2 linked regions of the Rhinolophus ferrumequinum genome follow. The protein of the gene in region 2 interacts with the protein of the main gene of each other region in a biochemical or structural test. Links are inferred from orthologs where the notes say so. Each region holds a gene or a part of one and is shown on either strand. Other genes may lie near its edges.

Region 1 (7,889 bases), on a different chromosome or scaffold from region 2:
CGATCCCCCTGAGTGCTTCCTCTCCTGGTTTGCAGTTGCTACATCTTGTAGTTCTTCTAGGTTTTGTCTCTTCTACCTTGTCGGCATGGCTCCGACTCAGCCCCTCCCCCCCTCCACTCTGCCATCATTCAGAGCATGCGCTGCTATGACAGGCCCTCATCACCTGCCTCCTGTGACCCAAATTGCCCCCTGATTAAAACCCTTCAGGAGGGGCCCAAACCTTTGCCTGACACTCACGACTCAGCCCCCGCCTGCCACTCAAGGCCACTGTCCACCCTCTGCCCTACACTCCAATCGCACTGCACACACCACACCATCCACACCTCTGTGCCTTTGCCCACTCTCTTCCCTCTGCCCAGAATACTCTTCCTCCATCTGCTCACGGCCAAAGCATCCCCGATGTACAGATAGAAAAACTGAGCTCAGAGAGCTGACACAACTTGTCCAAGGTTGTGGAGCTGGCAAATGATGGAGCTGGGGTCCCAAAGGAGGACCATCTGAAAGCAGCTCCTTTCTCTACTCTGCAGCATCCGGGCTCTGCTGCAAGCCTCAGTTTGCCTCAAGTGCAAAATGGGAGGAATAAAAGACTGTGGGTTCTTCCTGCTCTGACTTTCCCTAACCAGTATTTATTTCTTGATTTTTGAGATGCTCTGAGGCCCTCTGCTGGTGACCTGGGGGTACTGAGCATAACCACCTAGGAGGCCCTAGCCAGCCACTTGGGAAAAAATGCTTAGGCCAAGCTCCGGGTGGACTGGGTGACTTACAAGTGGGCAGGCATGCCCCATGGCTGCTGCAGTTTCCATTCTCTATTGGTTTTCTGTTGCTGTGTAGCAAAATGCCACACGCATAGCAGCTTAAATGACACCCATTTATTAGCCCACAGTTCTGCAGGTCTGAATCCGGCACGACAGGGCTGGGTTCTCTACTCATGGTATCATAAGGCTGAGTCCTCATCTAGAAACTGAAGAAAACTCTTGTCCCGAACTCATTCAGGCTGGTGACAGAATTCACTTCCCTGAGTTGTAGGACTGGGGCCCCCGTTTTCTTGCTGCCTTTCAGCGAGGGGCCTCTCTCAGTTGCTTAAGGAACCCACATTCCTACTCACATGGCCATCTTCAAGTCAGTGATAGTGCACCAAATCCCCCTCGTGCCTCAGATCCCCTGACTTCCTCTTCTGCCAGCGGTTGGAGGAAACGCCACTGTTAAAGAGCTCACCTGATTAGGTCAGGCCCACCCAGACACTCTTCCTTATTTTAAGCTCAACGGGGAAGCACATGTCTAAATCTTCAAAGCAACCACATGATAGAAGCTCAGTATCACCTCACCGATGGGAGAACCTAATGTAGCAGATGCTGTCAGTAGCCCCCATGACTCCTTCCCCCGCCCCAGGGCTCACCTGCTTCAATGGACTGTCCCTGTACAGGACTACAGCTTCAGGACATCTCCAACTCCTGCATCTCTCTGCCTGAGGTGTGGGCCGGGAGTGTCAGGGAGTTAGTGCTTCCAGGAAGAGCTCTCAACCCGTGGCTGAGGATTAGTGGATACATACCCCCGCCTCCCAAACCCAGCTGAGGCATGTTCCACACCAGTTCTCAGAGGGTCCCCTGCGGGACGAAGCCCAGTTGCCCACAGAAGTACTTCCCCCTGCTTTCCTCCCTCCCCCAACTCACTTTGTGACTCTAACTACATTCCTCCTCTCCAGTTAAATCACTTGCACCCAAACACTCATCTCAAATTCTGTCACTGGAAGATCCCAAACTAAGATACTAGGGTGCAGAGAGCTGGAGGACTCTCAGAGGTCATATAAATAGGAAGGGACAGGCTGGCGATTTGATCTCAGGCAGTCTGACATCAGATCCCACACTCAAACACCATGTTCTGCTGCCTCTCCTGCAATAACCACAACAGTCCCATGGCAGGAGGGTGCAGCACTCCTTGCAAATCAACCCACGCTTTGAGCTGACCCCAGAGCAGAAAATCCCTTCTCGGGGTTCAGGTGATTTTATCAAGAGGCTGAGCAGGCTTGTCTCCTGCAGGCTTGGAACAGACCCAGCCTGGCCTGTCCAGAGCTGTCCCTTGGCACCAGGGTCTATTTCCTGGGTGAGGGAAGCCAGGACTGCCAGCCAGTGCCTTGAAGGGCACTTGTCTTTGGACCAGGAGGATATACTCAGATCTGGGTCCTGGAGAAGCTGGGGGTGGCCAGGATCCGGGGAAGAACTTACTGAACTTATTCATATATGGAGTTTACAGTGTGCCAGGCACTATTCGAAATGCTGTGGGTGTGTGATGAAATGTATATTCCTCACAGCAACCCTTTGAGATATGTACAATTGTTATCCCCATTTTATAGATGAGGAAACCGAGAAACAGAGAGGGTACATAACTTGCCAACGTTGCACAGCTAGTACGTCTCACACGTAGTCTGGCTCTTAATCATTGCTGGATGCTGCCTCTCCTGAAACTTGAGGTGAGCCTGCTGCCAGCTACTCACTCTGAGCTCTGCCTTCAAGTGCCAGCTCTCCAAGGAGACTTAGGCGTGAACTTCCAAACAATCCCCAACTTTGGTGGAGCCCCACTTGGAAGGAGGGGCTGGCAGGGGAAGAAGCCCTCAAGACTGAGAAGCAGTCGGCCAGAAGGAAGGACTGTGGTTGCCAGAAGACAACACCCTTCAGTCTCCACCTCCGCCCCCAAGTCCCCTCTGCCTTCTAATCAGCACAGCCATTCATCCTCAATGTGTTTATTTATCCCTAGCCTCATTCCCAAAATAATTGAAGGGAGCTTGAAAGGATAGGTGCACGGTATCTCCACCAACGATACTCCCATAAGTAATGCCTGGCTTACTGCCTGAATGGCCTTGCAACTGACACCTGGAAGACTTGGTAGTGTTAGATCATCACACATGGGGTGAGCCACCCTTCCTGGTTTTGTTAGAACTTTCCCACTTCTAAAACTGAAAGTCCCTTGTTCTGGGAAACCCCTCAGAGACGGGCAACAGGGACAGTTGGTCACCCTCGTTACACAGGATGCAGGCCACAAAATCTACTTGCTAGAAGACTGAAAATTTAGGTCAGAGCTTCCTAAGAGCCAAGGCAAAGAGAGAAATGCCATCTGTTAGGAGATTTTTAGCGTCTTTATAGTACTGTCCAGTAGAACTTTCCACAATGATGGAAACGTTTTGCACTGTCCAATATGATAAGTACTGGGTACGTGTTTCTATGGAGCACCTAAAATGTGCCCAGTGTGATGGAGGAACTGGATTTTAAATTTTATTTCATTTGGATCTATTTAAATCGTCACACGTGACTAGTGGCAACCATATGGGAAAGCACAGTTATATGCGATAAAAACAAACCAGGTGGTCAGGAAAAGCCTCTTTCTTAACACTGAGGCCTCAGAAATTTCTACCATGACTCATCACACGTAAGGGGAATACAAAAGTGGGTTCCACCTGGGTGCTTCTCTTTTCTTACACGTGTAATAGCAGCAGGCACTTCTATAGCATGTGCTCTGTGCTAAGCACTCTTATAAACCCTTTCCTATGTTAATTCATTCAGTTTTCAAAACCATCCGAGCAGGAAGGCACTTGGGGCATCCCCAAGCCGAAGGCTCCCTAAGGGGATACCTAAGACTCCCCTTCCCCTAGCCTTTACATCTCCCTGACCTTCCTGGGAACAGCCAGGAACTGGGGAGCAGGCAGAGGGATAGAAAAGGACAGGGGACACCAGGAGGATAGAAGACCAGGGAGAGGGTTTCCTGGATGCCCGTCTCCCTACCCTCAGGCCAACACTATGAGATAGAGGTTGACTCAGTGGAAAAATTGAGTAATGCCTGGTATCACTCCCTGGCACCACAGGGCATTCGGGATGTCGGAAGGAAGATCCTGTTCTGCCAGGTGACAGAATGCACCTGTACGGCCTTAGACATGCAGCCTGGGCAAAATGCCACCTTTGCATGTGCTCTGGACGATCCCCGATGCCCCTTACCACACCGGCCCCTTCCCGAGCCTACCGTAATTGCCAGGATGTCTTTAGCCTGCTAAGGCCTTCAGGCTCTGGGCAGCGAAGGAGGGGCAGGCATGACCCCCCCCCCCACCACCACCACCTCCTTCTGTGGAAAGCTGATGACTCCAGGGTCAGAAATAACCCCGCAGTCAGCTCCCCGCCTGCCACTCCGTTCCCAGAAAGTCTGGGCCCTGAGTCAGAGGGAAGAGCCCAAAAGTCAACAAGGGCCCAGATAATCTGCTATGAAAACCACAGAACCATTCTGTGGAATTCTCTGATAAACCAGGGACCTAGTGAAGAATTGAGGCCTGGAAATTCAGATGATTTCCCCCAAATCCAGCTGCACTCAGGGCTGTGTAGATCTGACCTGCGGGGCATGAGGAAAAATGGGTATCTTTAGTGCAGAGGGGGTGGGGGAGGACAGCGGGGACTTACTCTCAGAGGTACCCAGGCCGGGACCAGGGGAGGAGGGCACAGGGGGCACACACGCGTCAGGAAAGCTCAGAGGCCAGTCCAGAGTAGGGAAGCGGGCTCACAGGACTAGGCAGGGCTGTCCCGGGGTCAGCTGTCCCTCCTTATTCATTTCCTCAGAATAGTCTGGGACGCCAGCGCCCGACACCTGACTGAGTCACTGAGCCCAGTCCTCCGATCAGACTTGGATGAATGAAGTGCTCCCCTCACTCCTGTGCACCTCCCGGCAGAAAGGACATGTAACCGATTCCCCAGGATGGAAGAGTGACTTCCACAAGCCCTAAAAATAACTGAACCACTTCATATTCTGAACTTAGCCTCTCCCGCCTGCCCCCACTCTGGCCCACCCCTTAGCCAGCAAGATAAAGGCAGCTGCTGGGACTGGCAGGGGACAGAGACCCGGGGCCAGGGCAGTGAGAAGGCATCTGACGGAGCCAGCAGAGCAGGACCAACCCCAAGCAAGAAGCTAGAGAGGAACGACAAACCTTAGGCTGCCCCGCCACAGACCCCAAGCACGCCGTCAGCCAAGTGGGACCCTCAGGTGAGTCACCTGCTTTTTGTCTGTCCATGGCAGGACTGGCTCTCCAGGCTGGGGTCCACTCTGCACCCTCCGGATGGTTCTCAGGATACCGTGTATTAGGGGTGGCAGAAGGAAGTTAAGGGGCCGTGCAGCTGGACGTAGGTGAGTGGAGAGGTCTCTGGTATAAAGACTCCCTGAGGACGTAAAGGGACTGGTTGCCACAAGCCTGACGCCCGCAGAAGGGCCAAGTTCTTACCAGTCTAAAAAAATCCAGAAAGGCTTTCAGGAGGAGGTAGCCTGGAGTTTTGATTTTCAAAATACAGGTATGGAGTTCTTAAGGCTTCCAGGCTTCCTCCCAGGCAGCTCCAGTGTCTGGAGGAAAGAGGAGGAGAGGAGAGGCGGGAGGAAATGCAGGTGGAGGTGGGAAGCAGGCCCGACTCTGCCTCCTTAGTCTCCATGAGCCAGGGGCAGGGCTGTCTCAGCAGAGGGTCCCACTGCCCTCCCGTCTCCCCCCGTAGCTGTCACCCTCACACTCTCCTAGGGGTGCCTGCTGGGGAGCAGGGCGGCACCACAGCCGATAAGAAACCTTCACACTCTCTTATTTCTTGGGAGCCAGGCCCCATGCCCAGCTGTTGTGGGTGAAAGTCTTGGCATAACTGGTCCCAGGAATGTCTCCCCAGGGCTGGCCTGAGCCCAGCTCCCCACATATCATGGCCTAGGACCTGGGCTGGGATGCCCAGACCATCATCTTGCCCAGTGGGCAGACGGGGGGGAGGAGGGCGGGGAAACGGAGGACAAGCAAGGGAGACCAGATCTGAGTCTGCCAGACCAGATGCAGAGACCTATAGTGGGGCTATGCCAAGGCAGGGCAGACTGGGGACAGAGGTGGGGTCATCCTGAGGGGCTAGCCAGCCCGAGAAGGCCATGTTCTGGAACACTTCTTGGGGCTCAGGCCCCTAACCTTAAGTCTGGTCCCAGTTCTGAATTCTGCCCTCCTCCTCCTCCATCCCTGCCTTCTAGAAACTTAAGCCTAAGGGTCTTAGGCCAGGCAGGGGTGAGGCTGGGAAAGCCAGGAGTTGGGGAACCGGCTTCAGGCCTAGCTACTGTTTTGCAGAGCCTCCTGGGACAGCTCCTCTCCCCTCTTCGGGCCCTAGTTTCCCCATCTGTACAATGAGGGGTCAGGTTCAGTGACCTCTGAGGGTCCTTAGGTCTGACATCCCTGGACTCCATGCTTCTAACTGTTTGGGACCATAACAGGGATTCTAGAGATTCCTGGGGTTGGCAGAGGGGTGGAGTTGGTGGCCTGCATATGCCATCTGCTCAGGACACACTGGTGGTGACAGGACAGGGAGGAGGTGGGGACAGGCACAGTTTGCCTTTGGCAGGGGGTCCTCGTTAGAACTCAGAGACTACAGCGACTCCCCCAGAGTTATGGTGAGAAGGGGCAGGACCAGGGAGCCCAGGGTGGAGAAAAAGCTAAGGTGAGCCAAGGCGCTCAGGGCCCCACTGGCCGAGCCTGAGCCTCCGTCAGGAGGGGGCCCAGGGCGGCCATGCGGAGGCCGGGACCTTGGCTATATTTAGCACCGAGTATGAAGCAGAGCAGTGGGTCAGGGGCAGCGGGAAGGGGACATGCTTCTCATTCTTTCCCTACTGGCCTCTGGGAACTGTTAGTACACCTGTCACAAGACAGATAAGACACAGAGGACAGAGACCAGAGACCAGAGACCAGAGAAGGGCTTGAGGGGTGGGAGGCCATGAAGGGGGGCCGGGTGAGCTGGGGGGAGGCAGTGCCTTGGTGAAAGCTGACTCACCTGAAGAGGAAGAAAGGAGAGGAGCACAGAGCCAGCGTGAGGCCGGTTGCAACACCGTCGGGACTGAGTCTCCATGAGCCAGGGCAGCACTGTCTTTGCAGATGGTCCCATTGCCCCCCTCCCTGTCGCTGTCACCCTCACACTCTCCTAGGGGTGCCTGCTGGGGAACAGAGGGACACCACAGCCGATAAGAAAGCTTCACACTCCTTACCCTCCTGTTTCTTGAGAGCCAGGCCCCAAATAGGGTCTAGGAACCCCAAGTCAGCACTGCCCGTTACTCATTCACCAAGCTCTGACCCCTTCTGGGCCTCCGTTTCTTCATGCTTAATTACGAGCGTTTGGGCTAGAAGACCCTTGAGATACCCCAGGCTCAGACGTCTGAGTCTTGGGGTATGGCACAGAAACCCCTACCTGGGAATCAGAATCTGGCTCTGCCCAACCATGAGATACCTGGTGAGCCTCTACTTCTCCCACGGTAGCATGGGCTGCGGGCCCCAGCTATGCATCGGTCGGCCTGGGACAGGTTGGAGAGCCCCAAAGGGATTGGGCAAGACTCCCAGTGAAAGTGGCAAGCACGCCCTCTGGTGTCATGAAAGGGCATTTTCTTCTCCATGGTAAACAGTCACCAGTTTAGGGACCGACTGGTCCCTGACTAAGACCCCATAAATCACGATCTCCCTCCAGGCCACTCACCTGGGACTCCGCCAGGGAAAACTGATTTTGGTAAAGGAAGGGGAGGATGGGGCACGTCCAGTTTGTCTACTGAAGGTCTGAGCATCCCTTGTGGGGCTGAAGGACAGAACTTCATGGCCAGCAGCGCCCTGCTTGCTCCCTAGCAACCCAGGTGATTCTGGGGAAGCCAGGACCCACCTTGTTGGATGGCTCCATATGCCCTAAGTTCAAGACTTGTCACACACCAAGCATACAGGTGGCAGAGTGAGACCCAGCTGAGGTCTGGAGAGGGCATGTTACCTCAGGGCCTTGGGCCTTGCTCCCTGCCTTTTCTCCCCAAAACTGCCCCTCCCCCCGCCCCGAGGCCCCCAGCCCCACCCTCATCTCTGCCCCTTCTCCTCAGGAGGATGGCCG
Region 2 (7,183 bases):
TACTCCCACGGGTCCAGAGACCAGCAGCATCGGCATCGGCAGGGCAGAAGCTCAGCCCCTACCTCCGACCTGCTGACGCAGAGTCCGCCTTTTAACAAGATCCCCAGTTATTAGGCACAATAACATTTGAGAAGCACTGCCCTCAATTAGATTGTGTGTTCTCAGTCGTAACCTAACGGAAGAAATTCTTTCACAACTCACCTGGGGCGACTGGCCCCTCGCTGGTGAGTGTAGTGAAACCCTGCTTTTTATTCCCTTTACTCCGGCCACCAGTTGGCTGGAAAAGACTGAACCATTGTCACCCCAATAAATTTTAATAAAATAAAAAAAAAAAGAGTGGAGGATTACCTACCATCAAAGATCACTGATTTAACTTGGAATGAGAAGTCAAGGTGGAGGTCACGGTCTGGTAGGCAGTGGGCCCCCAGTCGGGACTTTATCAGATCCTTCCCAGGCCCAAATCTAGAGCCTGGGCAAAGCTAGGAAAATGGTCCCGTTTTTCCCTAGCCTTTTTGCTTAGCATACAGAGCTCTTCCCTTTAGGACACTTGGCTCCTGTTGGCTCATTTTAGAGTGCTCTCCTCTTCATCCCTTTAGGCTTTGACTCCTAGCCTTATTCATACACTGTTACCAGAGTAGATCAAAGAGGTCTCTCCGGGTTGAATGTGAAACAGTCACTTGAGCTTGTTTTAAGTCTACAGGGGTGTCTCCTAGAAGCCCCAGGCAGGCACGCACCCAGGCTGGAGTACAGATAGAACCAAGGACTCAAAACAGCTTCAGGGGCCTCCCTCTCCCGCTCTACTGCCCTCTGCGTCACTGCTGCTTTTCTGCTCTCTCCCAGCACAACAGCCCCCCTCGGCTTTCTCTTCCCAGGCCACGTGCTAGAGCACACCACCTGCCACTCCTGTCAAGGACCAACTGCTATTAAGGAGCAGGGTGGGTGGTTCTAAAGATCAGAGGTACCCTGGTTCTGATTCTGGCAGGTGGATTCGGGGATCACGGAAGGGAAGACTGGAGGAGTGTGAAGATCCTGGCGGTGGATTCTACAAGGGATAGAAACAGAGCTGGGAGGAAGGCCTCACTCACCAGACCCCAGATGGTCCCCGAGATACCAGCAGAGAAAGCAGACGAACTTTTTTTCTGATCACCTATTAGCTGCCAGGCACCACGCTCATTTTACATGTTCCCTCCTTTCATCTTCATACATAAAAAATCGCCATGACAACATTAACTCCATTTCACAGATGAGAAAACTGAAACCCAAAGGAGTTACATTACCTGCCCAAGGTTATAAAGTCTATGGATCTTTCCATCCGACCCCACCGTCCCTGGCACCCAGGTCAGGGCCACAGTCAGTATCACCGATTGATCCAAGGACCTGCTGTGAGCCTGGCCAGTCTCCTCTCATAACGGGTGACTGTGGAAATGTCCCTGGCTCCAGAAAAACAGGATTCTCAAACATGGCCCATTGGACCCGCTCACTCTGACTCTGTTTAGCCCAAGTTAATTATGGCCACTGTCCGTGGCTGATGAGCCCCTTGATGGGAGAAGTAGGGCCAAGTGAAAGGCAACCTGGTCCTCTGAGACAGGTCAGCGGGTGGTGAGTCAGGGGGCTATAAACAGCCTATGGCCCCAGCCAGCGTTACCCCAAATGCTCAGCTGATGAAACCCCCTGTAAGCCCCTCTATGTGCCCCTGCCTGGCTTGGCCCTTCCTCAGGGAGGCGGCCCCACTTGGCAGGCCGTAGGACCAGCATTGCGCACGGTCTGTTCCAGCCCTCATGGCCAGGCCTGAGGCCTGGGCTCATGGGCTATATTGAGAGCTGAGTCACCAGCCTGCGCCTGGGTCAGGCTGCTGGGACTGGCTGGCTGGGGCCTGAGTCAGGCCCCGATTTATCCTGGAGAGCAACAGGCTCAGGTTTCTGGGGAAGGGGGGTAAGAAGGGTGCTGGGAACCATCCTTGGCACTGGGTACCCTGCTCTACTGAGACCATTCACTTACTCCTCAGGGGCCTCTTACGGACCTCTCTTGGAGAGAGGGAATGAGAGGGGGGAGAGAGGAGACTTCTTTCTCCACTCACTGGCCTCCCTCTGAACCCTCCCACCTCAATGGAGGACCTTAACTGACTGGGGGACACACCAAGTAATGCCCCAAAACAGGACTATGAGCCACTAGGATTTGTAAAGGGGCTGTTGGCTCCAAGGAAACCCATTTTACCCCTTTCTCTTCTCCCTAGCAGCTCAGAGAGAGGAACCTATCCTTTCTCAGATCTGTACCTCAGTTTCTTCATCAGGGCTTCAGAGACATCGCTGAATCCTGAGCTGGCACCTCAGGTTAGGTGTCAGAAGTCTGCCATTTTTACACACACACACACACACACACACACACACTCACAAACACACACACTTCCCTTGTGAGACCCAGCTATGTGTCATGTGTCCCCAGGAGCTGGGCATCTCTCCACAGGAGAGCTCAGCCTCTAAAGTAGACGGTCAACACTGATGCCTGGTGGTTGGTTTTGGCCGTGGGACAAAGGTGGCATGGGGCAATGAGAATTCTGGAGATAGGGAAGGGGGGTGCCAGTAGGAGAGTGGAATTCCTGAGCACCTCGTCACAGGCAGCCGACAGAACATGAGCCGCAGGGCCCAGGCTATTTATACCTTGCCTGTCACTATTAGGGCCCCCAGAGCTCCCCCCTCACAAGCTACACACAGCAGTTCTCTTTTCTGTTTCTGGCCCCTTCTCTACTCCTCCCCCTCCCTACCTAATGAGAAGGGAAAGAAATCATTCATGGACCCCTTTCACATAAGCACTCCCGCCCACAAAACCCGGGAACTTCTTTCTGAGCTCCATAATGGAGATTGCCCTCATTCTGTCCGCTATCCCCCTTCTCCCTGGGGGTAGAAGAGGAATAAGGTAGAATGTTATACCTCTAAGGTCCCAGAACCTTCCCAAACTTCAATTATCACACAGCTTGAATCGGGGAATGTCTGGCCCAAACTTACTTGTTCTTGAAGAATGGGAAAGCTGAGGAAATACAGCGCAAAGGGAATACCAGGGGATATGGACCACATGCATGCTACAAAATTATGGATTTATATTCTCTGTATATATATTCTATAGCTCTGTCATCCCAGGCCAGCTCCTATTTGACTGCCTCAAGTTTCCTTGCTGTCACCATTCCCTCGCCCAGTCCTGCCTAGGCTTCCTGGCTGGCTCCCTTGGGCTCTCTCTGCCCACCAGCCCCTGTCACGTTTCCCCTTGGCTGCTCTGGGCAGGGCTCTCCCTCTTTGTCTGGCGAACCCGCCCTTTCACTGGAAGGATCTGCCCTGTGGCCCAAATGGGCACCTTGCCCAGGGGGCTCCCTGCTACTACAGGGCAGTTTCTCCCTTCCCACTCATCACCTTGGTTGAGTCAGACTTGGGGGGGTGCACAGTGTGACTCACTGGGTACTCTTTTCCTGAGCTCAGCTTCATTCTGAGGGGATGAGGCCAAACAGGCTGGTGACGGGGACACTGAGTCAGGGGCAGCCTCAGTCTTTCTCCTGGGACCCTGGGTTTGGCCTTCAAACTAGGCTTTTCTACCTGTAAAAGTGAAGCACCACCCCCCACCACAACCATCACACCTTCTCCCCAATTGGCCTGGGCGGTATCCTTATTTCCTCTCAGTCCATCTCTGTACTAGCACACACTTCCCTTCCCTGGCACAGGTGGACAGTACCCTGGGCTAGGAGCCAGGACTCCCAGGCCCTGTCACCAATTCATCCAGAAAATTTTGTCAACACCAGATCACTGTGTTTTACCCTAACCACTGACCTCAGTTTCCCTATTGATCTCTTTAGTCCTGCGGGACGTGGAGGGGACATATTTAATCTCTGACGGGCAATGCTTAGTTTTGGGGTGTTGGGTGCCCTACCCCCCACCTTCCAGCTCTGCTCCACCTCTCCAACGCAGCGCCCCAGGGACTAGCCCCTCTGGGGAGCTAACTGGGGGGCGGGGGAGCCCCCCCCTTGGGCCAATCGGGCCGCGTGGGGGAGGGGAGGACAGAGGCGGGGCGGTCGGGCTCTGCGCGGCCCCCACCCGCAGGCCGGGCGGCATTCCTGGGAGGCCGGCGCTCTGACGTGGACCCGGGGGCTGCGAGTGCGGCGGGGGGAGCGCGGCCCGGGGCTTCTTAAACCCCCCGCCCCGGCCGGGCCGGCACTTCCCGAGCACCGCTCCGCCCCCGAAGGGAGAGGGAGAGAGAGAGAGAGAGAGAGAGAGCGAGCGGCCAAGGAGCGAAGAGTCCCGCTGAGTCCCGCCAGCCAGGGGCGCGAGAGAAGTTGAGAGCCGCACAGCGCAGAGCTGCGAGTCCCGCGATCGCCCAGACAGCGCCCCGACAGCGCCCCCAGCCCCTGCCCAGCCCGTGCCCAGCAGGCAGCACAACCCTCGACCCACCCCTGCCAGCATGATGAACAACAGCGGCTACTCGGAGCCCGCGGGCCTCGGCCTGGGCGACGAGGCAGACGACATGCCGTCCACGGAGAAGGACCTGGCGGAGGACGCTCCGTGGAAGAAGATCCAGCAGAATACATTCACGCGCTGGTGCAACGAGCACCTCAAGTGCGTGGGCAAGCGCCTGACCGACCTGCAGCGAGACCTCAGCGACGGTCTGCGCCTCATCGCTCTGCTCGAGGTGCTCAGCCAGAAGCGCATGTACCGCAAGTTCCACCCGCGCCCCAACTTCCGCCAGATGAAGCTGGAGAACGTGTCCGTGGCCCTCGAGTTCCTCGAGCGCGAGCACATCAAGCTCGTGTCCATAGGTCAGTGTGGGCAGGGGAGTGCCCCGAGGACCGGCTGGCCCGTGGGGACGGGACACAGGTGCCGGTGGGTGCGGGGAGCTGAGAGAGAGGGAGGAGAGCAGCCCCCTGACACGGGGAGGGAACCCCGGCTCTCCCGCCACCACCGACGCTGGCCACACGGGCACTGCCTTCACGCCCCTCTCTGCACAGCGGCGGGCGGTGGGGGATGGGGAGATACCCGGAGGGTCCAGAGTCCCCCGGCTTCAGCCTTCTCCTACACGGTCCCACAGACCCGCCTCTCTACTCATCGTCCGCCTTCTTGCCATCGGGCAACCCCAGCCATACTTGAGAGGACAGGGCCAGTACCCATTACTGATTCCTGGGGGCGTCTTCCCTCAAACAAAGCAAAGGCTTCCCAGCCTTGCAGCAGCTCCACCGGGAGGAGCGGGCTGAAGGCAGGTCCCAACCACTGCCGATCCCGGGGCTCCGGGGCAGACGGAGAGCCGGTGGCCCGCATGTGTTAAGCAGCTGGGTTCAGGCCCGGGGGCCGGGGCAAGCAGAGCCCAGCCTCAGAAACCTAAAAAGGCACTGAGCGAGCGCGGGAGCCTTAACCCCCGCTAGTCCTCCTCGGGCTCAGCGTGCCAGGGAGGGGTCTCCGCACGTCCAGGCCCGGCCCGGCCCCAGCCCACCCCCTAAGCTGGGATTGGCTGCAACTAACGCTCGGGGCAGAGGGGAGGGAGGGGAAGGCCTGTAGAAGGGAGGAAGTCATTGAGTGTAACCAGATTTGGAAGGTGTGTCTGTGCTGGGTGGGGGTGGGGAGACACTCTAGGCTTGGGAACCAGAGGCCAAGGTTGGACTCTGAGTGGCCAAAGGCTGCCCCTCCCCTCAAAGCTCTGCTGTCCTCTCTGCAGGCTGGTGGCCTGGGCCAGACCCCCTACTCCTGTGTACCCCTGTGGTGAGCTCTTAAAAGTCCAGCTGTGATTTACAGGAAAGTGTCCCGTGAAGGGTGCACCCCAAGGCCCCAGGAGAGGGGTTTAACTTAGGGTCAGATGCCTCTCCTGCCAGACTGCCCCAGAGTCTATTCCGGATAATTGAATGTCCACCCCCAACTCTCCCTCAGGGCATCTCTAGGCCTCCTGATTTAGCAGCTGAGGTCAGTCGGGGGCCCTTTGCCTTGTCCAGTCCCCTCTCTAGGCCTTACCCCCTCCTGCCCCAATACTGCCCTCCCACCCCACCCGCTCTGGCCTGGAAATAGCCCTACCTCCGTGACACAGCAGATGTCTCTGAGCTTTCCAGAAGGACAAGCCTGAGGACAGGAGTGGGGGAGGGGCCCTGGGGTGTGTAGTGGGGGTGAGGGCTATTGAGAGTGTGTGTGTGTTGGCAGGGGTCTGAGGGGAGTCTGCCCTTGGTCTGTCACCCCCCTGCACCGGGGATTTGACGGACAGGACTGGCTGTCCCAGGTGGGGTCTCCAGGGGAGAGCCGGGGGCCTCAGCATATCTTTGTAGGAAGCTGCTCCCTGCTTTCCCCTCCCCTCTGGGTTGTGGGGCGGCTAGCCCCTCTCCAGGCCTCATCCTTCCTGTGCGCACCTCTCCCCTCCCCCATGGTGGTGCCTGGCTCCAGCCCCTTGGCTCAACTGTGGAGGGGCCGGCTCAGAGCAGAGGGGGAAGAAGCAAAAGCTGGTTTGGGGTGGGGAGGGAAGTGCCTCGGTTCCCGCCGAGAGGAAGGGAACCATTCCCCATTTGGGCCAAGTGGCTCACTCCCGGTGATGAGATAAGCTGTCAGCAATTCTGCTGCTGGGCCTGAGGCTGAGGTTGGAGGGGAGGGGGCCCAGGCGGAAGGAGCTTCCCAAGCTTGAGGAGACGTAGTGGGGTTCCCCACCAGGGGTGGCATCCTCCTTCCTCTAGTTCCCTCGTTTCCCATAAGTGATTGGAACAGGCCGTCCAGGGGGCCTCCTCTAGGCATTGTCTCAAGACTGAAATCGAGTGTCTGGGCACCTGGGAGGAGGGTCAGAAAGACTCCCCACGTCCCTCTCTAGGAGTGGGGTGACAGCTGGGAGCTGAGAAGTCCACCTGAAGGAGGGGGTACTCTTTCTGGGTTGGAGGAGCTGTGTGCCCTTCTTACCCCACTCCCCGCATCCCAGCCCCCCCCAGCCCCTCCAAACAAAGAGACCTATGAGGCAGCACTGTCCCGCAGCTGTTCCCCAGTTGCTATTCCTTCTCCTTGAGCCAACAGCCAAGGGAGGGGCTGGAGGGGGCAGCAGCTGTCCCAGCCCCTCCCTCGCCCAGCCCTCTCTCCACCCCCTCCACTTGGGGCCTGGGGCAGCCTCAGGCACTGGCTGTTGGGCTCTTCCCGCCACTTTGGGGGTACCCCCTGGCAGGCGAAGAAGTGGTGGCTCCGTGGGGTAGAAG

What was found.
Region 1: the proteins of FLNC (region 2) and XIRP1 form a complex in vitro, tested with the Homo sapiens proteins (2 studies listed by BioGRID and IntAct, with this or other methods). The link is inferred for Rhinolophus ferrumequinum from reciprocal best matches to the Homo sapiens genes FLNC and XIRP1.

Annotation. Positions count from the first base shown.
Region 1 is NC_046300.1:13,480,721-13,488,609, forward strand, and holds the start of XIRP1 (xin actin-binding repeat-containing protein 1), read left to right. Parts: upstream 1-4,878; 5' UTR 4,879-5,013; intron 5,014-7,878; 5' UTR 7,879-7,882; coding exon 7,883-7,889. UniProt on the Homo sapiens protein: Protects actin filaments from depolymerization. Required for correct cardiac intercalated disk ultrastructure via maintenance of cell-cell adhesion stability, and as a result maintains cardiac organ morphology, conductance and heart beat rhythm.
Region 2 is NC_046309.1:17,312,099-17,319,281, reverse strand, and holds the start of FLNC (filamin-C), read left to right. Parts: upstream 1-4,182; 5' UTR 4,183-4,440; coding exon 4,441-4,795; intron 4,796-7,183.